Schizosaccharomyces pombe: one gene and its partner. The protein of the gene in region 1 interacts with the protein of each later gene in a biochemical or structural test. Each region holds a gene or a part of one and is shown on either strand. Other genes may lie near its edges.

Region 1 (3,799 bases):
GTCTGTCATTTTTTTCTGTAAATCATGGTTAATTTTGCTGAAATTAAATACGAACGTCGCAAAATTTCTACGGCATTTGAAGGCTTACCGGAAAGTAGATCATGAATTTTTTCCATGTAGATTTCCATGTATGATACCTTCACTTCGTATTCAGTAGTAGATGGTGAATCGCGGATTTTGTCAAAAATACGCCTGAGCATTCTTGGAGTCATTCCTTCTTTTTCGAAATTATTTTCAATACCCTAAAGATTGTTAGAAAAGTGTGCCAGGTGAAATTGTGAATATACCATCATGGTGTATGTTTTGCCGGATCCTGTCTGTCCATAGGCTAGTACTGTTCCGTTATAACCCAAGAATAAGTCTATAATATATTAGTACATATTTAATGAAATTCAGAACAACTTGAATGTGATTCGAACAATGTATTAAAATGGCAATTCGTTTCAAATGAAGCGTCAAAACGAGCGCATATAAAAAAAGGCTATGCTATAATTTCATACAAGCTGTTGCTGACAACGATGAAATTAATCCGTTCAACGCCGTGTAAAGTTTTACTATCATTCACATACCATCGACTGTCGATTCAATTGAATACGAAAATATATCATTCTGAGTGCTAGAAGGATGAAAAACACGATCGAATACAAAGTTTCCTGAGTAATCACTAGTCTTTTAATCATGTCAGCCGAATTCTAAAGTAAAGATCAATTGTTGAAACCTACCTCGATATGAACAGTAGAATCGTTTAATGGGTATATCACATTATTTCCTCCAAGGTCTTGTTCCAACTGGTTCGTGGGCCGAATTCGGCACACTACTTTAATTGAAGTCATTGAGTAAAACTGCTTTATAAAAAGATAAAAAATCAAATAATGTATGATTAAAACGCAGTATATAAATTAGATCCATACATCCAAAAAAATCATTAAAGACAATATGTGAGCGGGCTAATTTCATATACAGGGAAAGACGAGGTTAACCTAACATGGTGCCTCTACAATAATTGTTGTTTAAGGCAACGTATCAAAAACAGAATAATATCATGTAATTAACTACATAATTGTTTAATGTTAAAGCTCGAAGTGTGAATTAAAAAAAATAAATTTACAAATCAACAGGCTAAAATTGTTTACTTCCTTCTACATATTCTTTTTTTCCTGATATTATTTGAAGATTTACACATGTATAAAATTCTTAAGATTGTTCAATCTTGATTCATATTTTAAGCAGAGTATTTTACCCTTCGTCTGATTAATATCTGTGACGAAAATTGGATTGCAATTTCTCACATATTTATTTATGAAAATTTGATTAAATGGTAAGAACGAGAAACCTCGCAGGTATTTATTTATTTTTTTTTTTAAATTAAATAATTTTTTTAAATTGTGAAGTTTATATGGAGATTTGGATGTATTTGCAATTTACAAGTTTATCCCAGATACTATTTCAAACATTAGCATTAAAAAACGTTTGTTTTACTACTTTGTATTTCTACTAGCTATACCAACCTACCAATTCATTTACCGAAGAGAAAAAGGTATGGAAAATGCATAATTCATAAATAGATCTACTTAGTACACTTGCTATCATCTAAATGCACCTGCGTTTCAATACTTGATTACTTATGTATAATCGAGATGTAACAACCCCCACATTGGTATCACTTCAGGTATAAGTAAAGGTAATTTGAATACTCAAGAAGTGTACCTTAATAGTATTCAACTGAATATGAAAATAGACCCCCACTGTGGACCATCGCCTGGCACCCACTTTACTTACCCTGTCATATGCCATAAGTTTTTAGAGAAACCGAATTCCATAATTCCGCATGTCGTTTCTGTTCAATAAACGACCAAAATCAACCCAAGATGTTGTTCGCTGCTTATGTGATAATCTCCCAAAGTTGGAAATAAACAATGATAAAAAGAAGGTATTAATTATTAGTAATTGTTGTTTTTGTTCGTTTAGATGACTAACGTAAACAGTCCTTTGAGGAAGTTTCCAAATGTTTACAGAATTTACGGGTTTCATTGTGTGGGACAGCTGAAGTAGAGCCTGATGCTGATCTCGTATCAGACTTATCTTTTCAAATTTACCAGTCGAATTTACCTTTTTTACTCGTTCGATATTTACCGAAATTGGAGTTTGAGTCTAAAAAGGATACAGGACTAATATTTAGCGCTTTACTTAGGAGGCATGTAGCATCGAGATATCCCACTGTTGACTACATGCTTGCGCACCCGCAAATCTTTCCAGTATTGGTCTCATACTATCGATACCAGGAAGTAGCTTTTACTGCTGGTTCTATCCTTCGTGAGTGTTCCCGTCATGAAGCCCTTAATGAGGTACTTTTAAACTCACGAGATTTTTGGACATTTTTTAGTTTGATACAAGCCTCTAGTTTTGATATGGCGAGTGATGCGTTTTCGACTTTTAAGGTACGTATTATCCCCAAATAAAACTTCTGTCGTTGCAATGTTTTTATATACTCCCGCTAGTTTTGCATTTACTAACTTTAATCAGTCTATTCTTCTTAATCATAAATCCCAAGTTGCTGAGTTTATTTCATACCATTTTGACGAGTTTTTTAAGCAATACACTGTCCTTTTGAAATCTGAAAATTATGTTACCAAACGTCAATCTTTAAAGCTTTTAGGGGAAATTCTTCTTAATCGTGCTAACCGTTCAGTCATGACACGCTATATTAGTTCTGCTGAGAATCTGAAACTAATGATGATTCTGCTGAGAGATAAGAGTAAAAACATTCAATTTGAAGCTTTTCATGTTTTTAAATTGTTTGTTGCTAATCCTGAAAAGTCGGAAGAAGTAATCGAAATATTAAGGAGGAACAAATCAAAGTTGATTTCTTACTTGTCAGCTTTTCATACTGACCGGAAAAATGATGAGCAGTTTAATGATGAACGCGCATTTGTAATAAAACAGATTGAACGCTTATGACTCTTGTTACTCACCAATGTGCTCATGTCTTTCAAAATCATGCTGTTGTCCATCCTATATTTACAAAGGAAAAAAAATTGTAGATTAGATTTATTAAATGATATATGCGAGTTGAAATATTTGATGCATGAGATACGGATGCTTTAGATATTAGCATTAGGTTAATTGCTAACCGATTCCATGAATAAAAGAACTTTATTATTTCATGTACTAAGACTTCCTAAGATTGTCTGACATCGCCAAGTCAACCGTTTAGATAGATTATTTGACACTAATTATTAATTAAATATCTGACAAATTGGAAAATCAAATGTAAAATAACTTCGCATTTTTTCTATGTAATTGAGTTTCCACAGCCTTTTCTTTCTTCTTAGAGAATTTAAAGCTTTGGACATATGCTTGCAAAGACTTTTACAATTTTTAGTAATAACAACCTAAGAAAGGCTTACATACACTCTCTTAAAAATTTTAAGCTTGTTGTTTAGAGGCACGACGCAAATTTGAAAAATCAATCTTGACCGGCTTTTTCACCAATATCTCATATCGGCCCCATTTAGGCTCAATAAAGGGGACAGCAAAAGCTCTGCCCATAAAAGGAGTTTGTTTCGTGTCAATGAAAGGGTACACCATGACTGGAATCCAACCGTCAGACTTTGAATATATCGGTTCGTTGACTGTGGCCTTCGAATGATCAAACTCTAAATCTATTAAAAAATCGCAAGACTCAAGAGAAGTATAACGAGTTGGCTCTTCATTATTGAATTCATTCATGTGTTCAGGGATCTGATAGTAGCCTTCACGGTTCCACCATGTTGAATTAGATTCAACGAATTCACCGGGT
Region 2 (4,677 bases), on another chromosome or scaffold:
GCGTTAGTGTCAGTAGGAAGTGTGCTGATACCACCCATCCCAGATTAGCAGTGCAAAGTGGGCTCATTAAAGGACGAGTTGAAAGTCATGTTCCTAGGAAATATTTGAATTGCGAATTCTTACAAGTCAAACTGACGAGTTTTGACAATGAAGAATGCCCTCCCCTTGGTTGTTGGTATACTGTTTTTATTGATAAATAAAAGTACCATGTCTCTCTGTACATACAACTACGATTTTCGATATACAGGAATGTTTAGATAATTAATCTTTTAAGAGAAATTCTTTTAGTAATGCAAATTTCTATGATTGTATAATATGCTTGAAACTGTGATTTGTCTGGGGTTTTCTTTTTTGTTATATTTTTATTATGTACAACGACTCTTGTTCACCCAGGTCGAAGAGCTAAGGGTCGCTCATTTCTATATTTCTTTCAAGTTTCCTTTTTTTGCTTAATACATTATCATTTGATTGTTGCGATTGATTGTTACAATCGATCGCTCGCACCGATAATCTCAATTAAGCTCAGCGTGTTGACTTACTTTATCTAACCTTTAAAATAGGTCATCGCTACAAAAATTAGTAAACGAAAGAATAAAGAAAATACAAATCCTTCAATTGATTTCTCGTTTTACTCCCTTTTTACTCGGCAATGTAATAATAAATTAATAATATACATTACATTATTTTTATTTACTACACTTTTAAAATAGCGATGTGGGTATTGGACGCATCAAATCAATTCATTGAATTGAAAGTCTGTAAATACCGGGATTTGTCATCCCATCAAACAAAACTAAGCTGCCCTCAAGAAATTGTACAAAAATTTAAAATTTCTTTGACTAGCTCCTATTATGCGATTGTTTCGTCGAATATTTTATATGATCGGTTCGAAACGATAGCCATGCAAGATGAGCAGCAACAGTAATGCTCGTTAAATTAACTAAAAAGCAACTTATTACAAACCAATTGGTAATTTCATAAAAAAAATGAAATGGTTTGGAGAACAGTGTACAAGCTAATGGATAGCATACTAAACGTAACACACCAGACAACCATGCATACTCGGATTTACATAATCAACTTAGTATCTTTATCTTAAGATACAAATTAGTATTTTACGCAAATTCTCAAAAATCGACCGAGTAAATAAGTAATGTCATCTCATTTTATTATTTACTACGAAAATCAGCATATTTGTAAGGTGAGAAGCTTTCAGCTCTTAAGCTTAGATAGTGGAAATTTTGCAATCCGTAAAATGTAGATTGTGAGAAGGATCTTATATGATTGTATGCATTATGTAAAGTTGGTTTACGAATATGGGCTTTAAATATCCTTGGATATAAACAAGACATTGGGTACTACTATAACTGTATAAATTGTTTACAATTTGAACTGAGGAACAAAAATTCGGTCGATTTATTTTAAAGGATTTTAGTCTTAAAGATAATTACTCTCAAAGAACGGATATATATCCGCTGCGGAACGGAAATATAAATAACTACAGATTATATACTGATTAACGACATAGCGTAGTAGAAAAATACAGATAAGATATCGTTAGTTTTACGTTACGCTAAACTCGATAAGATATTCTCATTTCTCCTGCTAAATTTGCTGTATTTTTCCTCGCAAAGCTTCGGTATTGAAAAAAAATAGTATAATAAGTTGTTTGTTATTTAGGGATTGCACAAATTGAGTATTATAGTAAACAGTTTTTCAATATATATCTACTCAATTCCTTCGTACCCGCTACCACCAGCAGTATAGAAAAAGTGAAAGGGAATTGAAGGAGTTTGAATTGAACCTGTTCAATTAAAATTCTTCATGTATCTGCTAAGCAGCTAAAGTTATTAGAAATGGAAAATAACACTGCTTCTTCGCCGTACACAAAATTAGAATTGGTGGGACGCGGTTCGTACGGCGCAGTCTATAGAGGGTATGAATATTATTCGAGTGATTCTTTTCTACATTTTCTAACATTCTAAAGAATTTGCAATTTAACGAAAGAGACTGTTGCCATCAAGATTCTTAATTTGGATACCGATGAGGATGAAGTCTCTGATATTCAGAAAGAAGTCGCTGTTCTTAGTGAATTGAAACAGTCCGATGTCGAAAACATTATAAAGTATCATGGCTCTTATTTGGTAGGTACTAATTTATGGATTATAATGGATTATTGTCATGGAGGTAGCGTGCGTACTTTGATGGAGGCTGGTCCCATTAGTGAACCATGCATATCTTTGATCCTTAGAGAGACCTTACAGGCATTAAAATTTATTCATCATGCAGGTATCATCCATCGTGATATAAAAGCTGCCAACATCCTAGTTTCCATGTCTGGAAATGTCAAGCTATGTGACTTTGGCGTTGCTGCCGAACTAAACATCAATCGCCGAAAGCGAATCACGTTTATTGGAACGCCTTATTGGATGGCACCAGAAGTTATTCGAGATGGTCAGGAATATAATGTTATGGTATGTTTCGTTGCTGATTACTTATAGCCCTTTACCTATTCCACAAAATTATTAACAAAGTTTAGGCTGACATTTGGTCGCTCGGAATCACTGCATATGAAATTGCTACTGGATCTCCACCTCATGCCAAAGAGGATCCTTTTCGTGCCGTTTACCTAATCGCTCACACCGCACCCCCTAGACTCAATGGAAATTTTAGTGCTCTTTTAAAAGAATTCATTGCCTCTTGTTTGCAGGATGTCCCTCAGAGGAGATTAGATTCTTCCGAACTTTTGAAATCAAAATTTATCAAACAATATTCTCGCATGTCTATTTCTGAACTTACCAATGTTGTAAAACGCTATGACACTTGGCAGGCTGCTGGCGGCATACCCCAAACGCTACTCTTGGGTGAAGAAGCCGATGATGGAAGCGACCCTGATCAGGAAACCTCCGACACCGCTGCTTCTGATGATGGTTGGGAATTTGGCACTATTAAACAAGGTCAAAGTAACGTTTCATCCATCACTGGCACTTCCACCTCCACTACTACCGCTGCTACTTCCTCCACTACTGTAACTGGAACTGTAATTCCAAAATCTTCCACAGTGCATGAACCCCCTTCATCTAATGATTCCCATCCGTTATTACAACTTTTTAAGGATTCAAAGATTTCGGATGATGATTCTCCCAGTAACGCTGAAGGAGCTTCTACTGAGGATTCCAAAGGTGAAGTATCTTATTCTCAAATCGAATTACCTAGCTTAGATTCCTCAAATCTATCCTCCAAAAAATCAACCATTCAATCGAAACACACTAAGCAAGCTGAAGATTACGATTTGTTTGTAGGTCGCACACGCTCAAATTCCAAAACCTCATCGGATCAAAGTATCAAACGACCCCTGCCTCGAGTTGTGCAACGTCAAAAAACTTCTCTTGGAAAACGAGGAATATCCATGTCACCAATGAAGCCGGGTCTTCGTATGCCATCCTCATTCGACCTCCAATCTAGAAGTATATCGATGGGCGCATTTGAACAACTATCTACACCATTAGAAGCGCCAGCGCATAAACATTCGGCAGTGCTACAGCCATTAGAGGTTAATAGGTCAATTAGTATACCTCCTCCGAAATCGATTTCTCCCTCTATTTTGCATAAACCTAGTCTTGAATCCGCTAGTTCTACTCCTAAAATTTCCTCCTGTTCGTCCACTCCTAAGCCATTTAATTCGAAATTAAGAGCTCATTTACCCCCTTTATCCATTGGCTCACCGGCCGTTCAACCATTAGCAAATGATAATTACGATTCTCTGGGGGTTCGAGGTCTAAATATGGAATTATTTAATGATTATCCAGGTAATATGCACAATATAAAGTCTGTATTGAGCTTAGAAATAGACATCGTTTTGGGAGAAATGGACGCTTGTCTAAAGAGCTTGGAATGTAATCTTTTAAACAGAAAAGCATATAATGAATAACTGTTTATGATGCTTTTAGTCCTTTCATAATATAATCTTTAATTTATTTAATGTTTTAACTTCTCTTTTTTTGCTAATATATTCGTTCATCTTTTATGAAAATCTAAATTGTTGAGATAATGATGCCAAATACAGAACATTTAAATTAAAATAGTGCCCACGGTTAAGGAATAGAGTCGTAAATTTATTGTCGTGATAATAACTAAAGAACAAGATGAGGGATAATTTAATTTATATGAGTTACAATTTGAACGAAAATTACAATGATTTAATTTACCTTACTAAATACCCAAACAGTAGAAATCTTAATATTGTATTTAAATAACCATCCAAATGAACCATTTTTATTACCAAAGCATCAACCCGTCGAGGAAAACTTTAACTTGCTACAAATCGAGTGTAGTCTATCGTAAAACCGTAACTTTTGTTCTGTATTCACAAAATTTATTGCCTGTATCATCGCATATTCCTGCATAGTTTCAGTCCCATGAAGAAGTAAAACCATCAATAACTTTTCGGAGGGAAAATGTTGGGAAAAGCAGAGCGATAGGAAAATCTTTTGAGCTGTTTCAAATTTTCGTTTTCGTAAGAACCACTCTAAAAGAGTTGTTTTCAATTCATAAGAAGCAGGAAGAGCCAATAACTCCATATGTTTTAATAAATAAAAACTAGTCCTAAGCCTATTTTTTTGAAGTAGAAAGTAACGAATAGTTAAAGTGAACATCCTCGATCTAAGAAAAGGATCA

Evidence for each region.
Region 2: the proteins of pmo25 (region 1) and nak1 form a complex in vitro, tested with the Schizosaccharomyces pombe proteins (one study listed by BioGRID).

The regions. Positions count from the first base shown.
Region 1 is NC_003424.3:4,703,949-4,707,747, reverse strand, and holds pmo25 (mo25 family protein Pmo25), read left to right. Parts: upstream 1-1,806; 5' UTR 1,807-1,828; coding exon 1,829-1,930; exon of another isoform or gene 1,931-1,985; coding exon 1,986-2,438; exon of another isoform or gene 2,439-2,523; coding exon 2,524-2,958; 3' UTR 2,959-3,260; downstream 3,261-3,799. Other genes in the region: kinesin-like protein Klp3, read right to left, coding at 1-15, 89-242, 288-361, 570-669, 723-833; mannosyltransferase complex subunit Alg9, read right to left, coding at 3,427-3,799.
Region 2 is NC_003423.3:2,481,500-2,486,176, reverse strand, and holds nak1 (PAK-like kinase Nak1), read left to right. Parts: upstream 1-1,751; 5' UTR 1,752-1,856; coding exon 1,857-1,936; exon of another isoform or gene 1,937-1,987; coding exon 1,988-2,474; intron 2,475-2,539; coding exon 2,540-3,931; 3' UTR 3,932-4,110; downstream 4,111-4,677. Other genes in the region: SPOM_SPBC12C2.01C (uncharacterized protein), read right to left, coding at 4,290-4,677.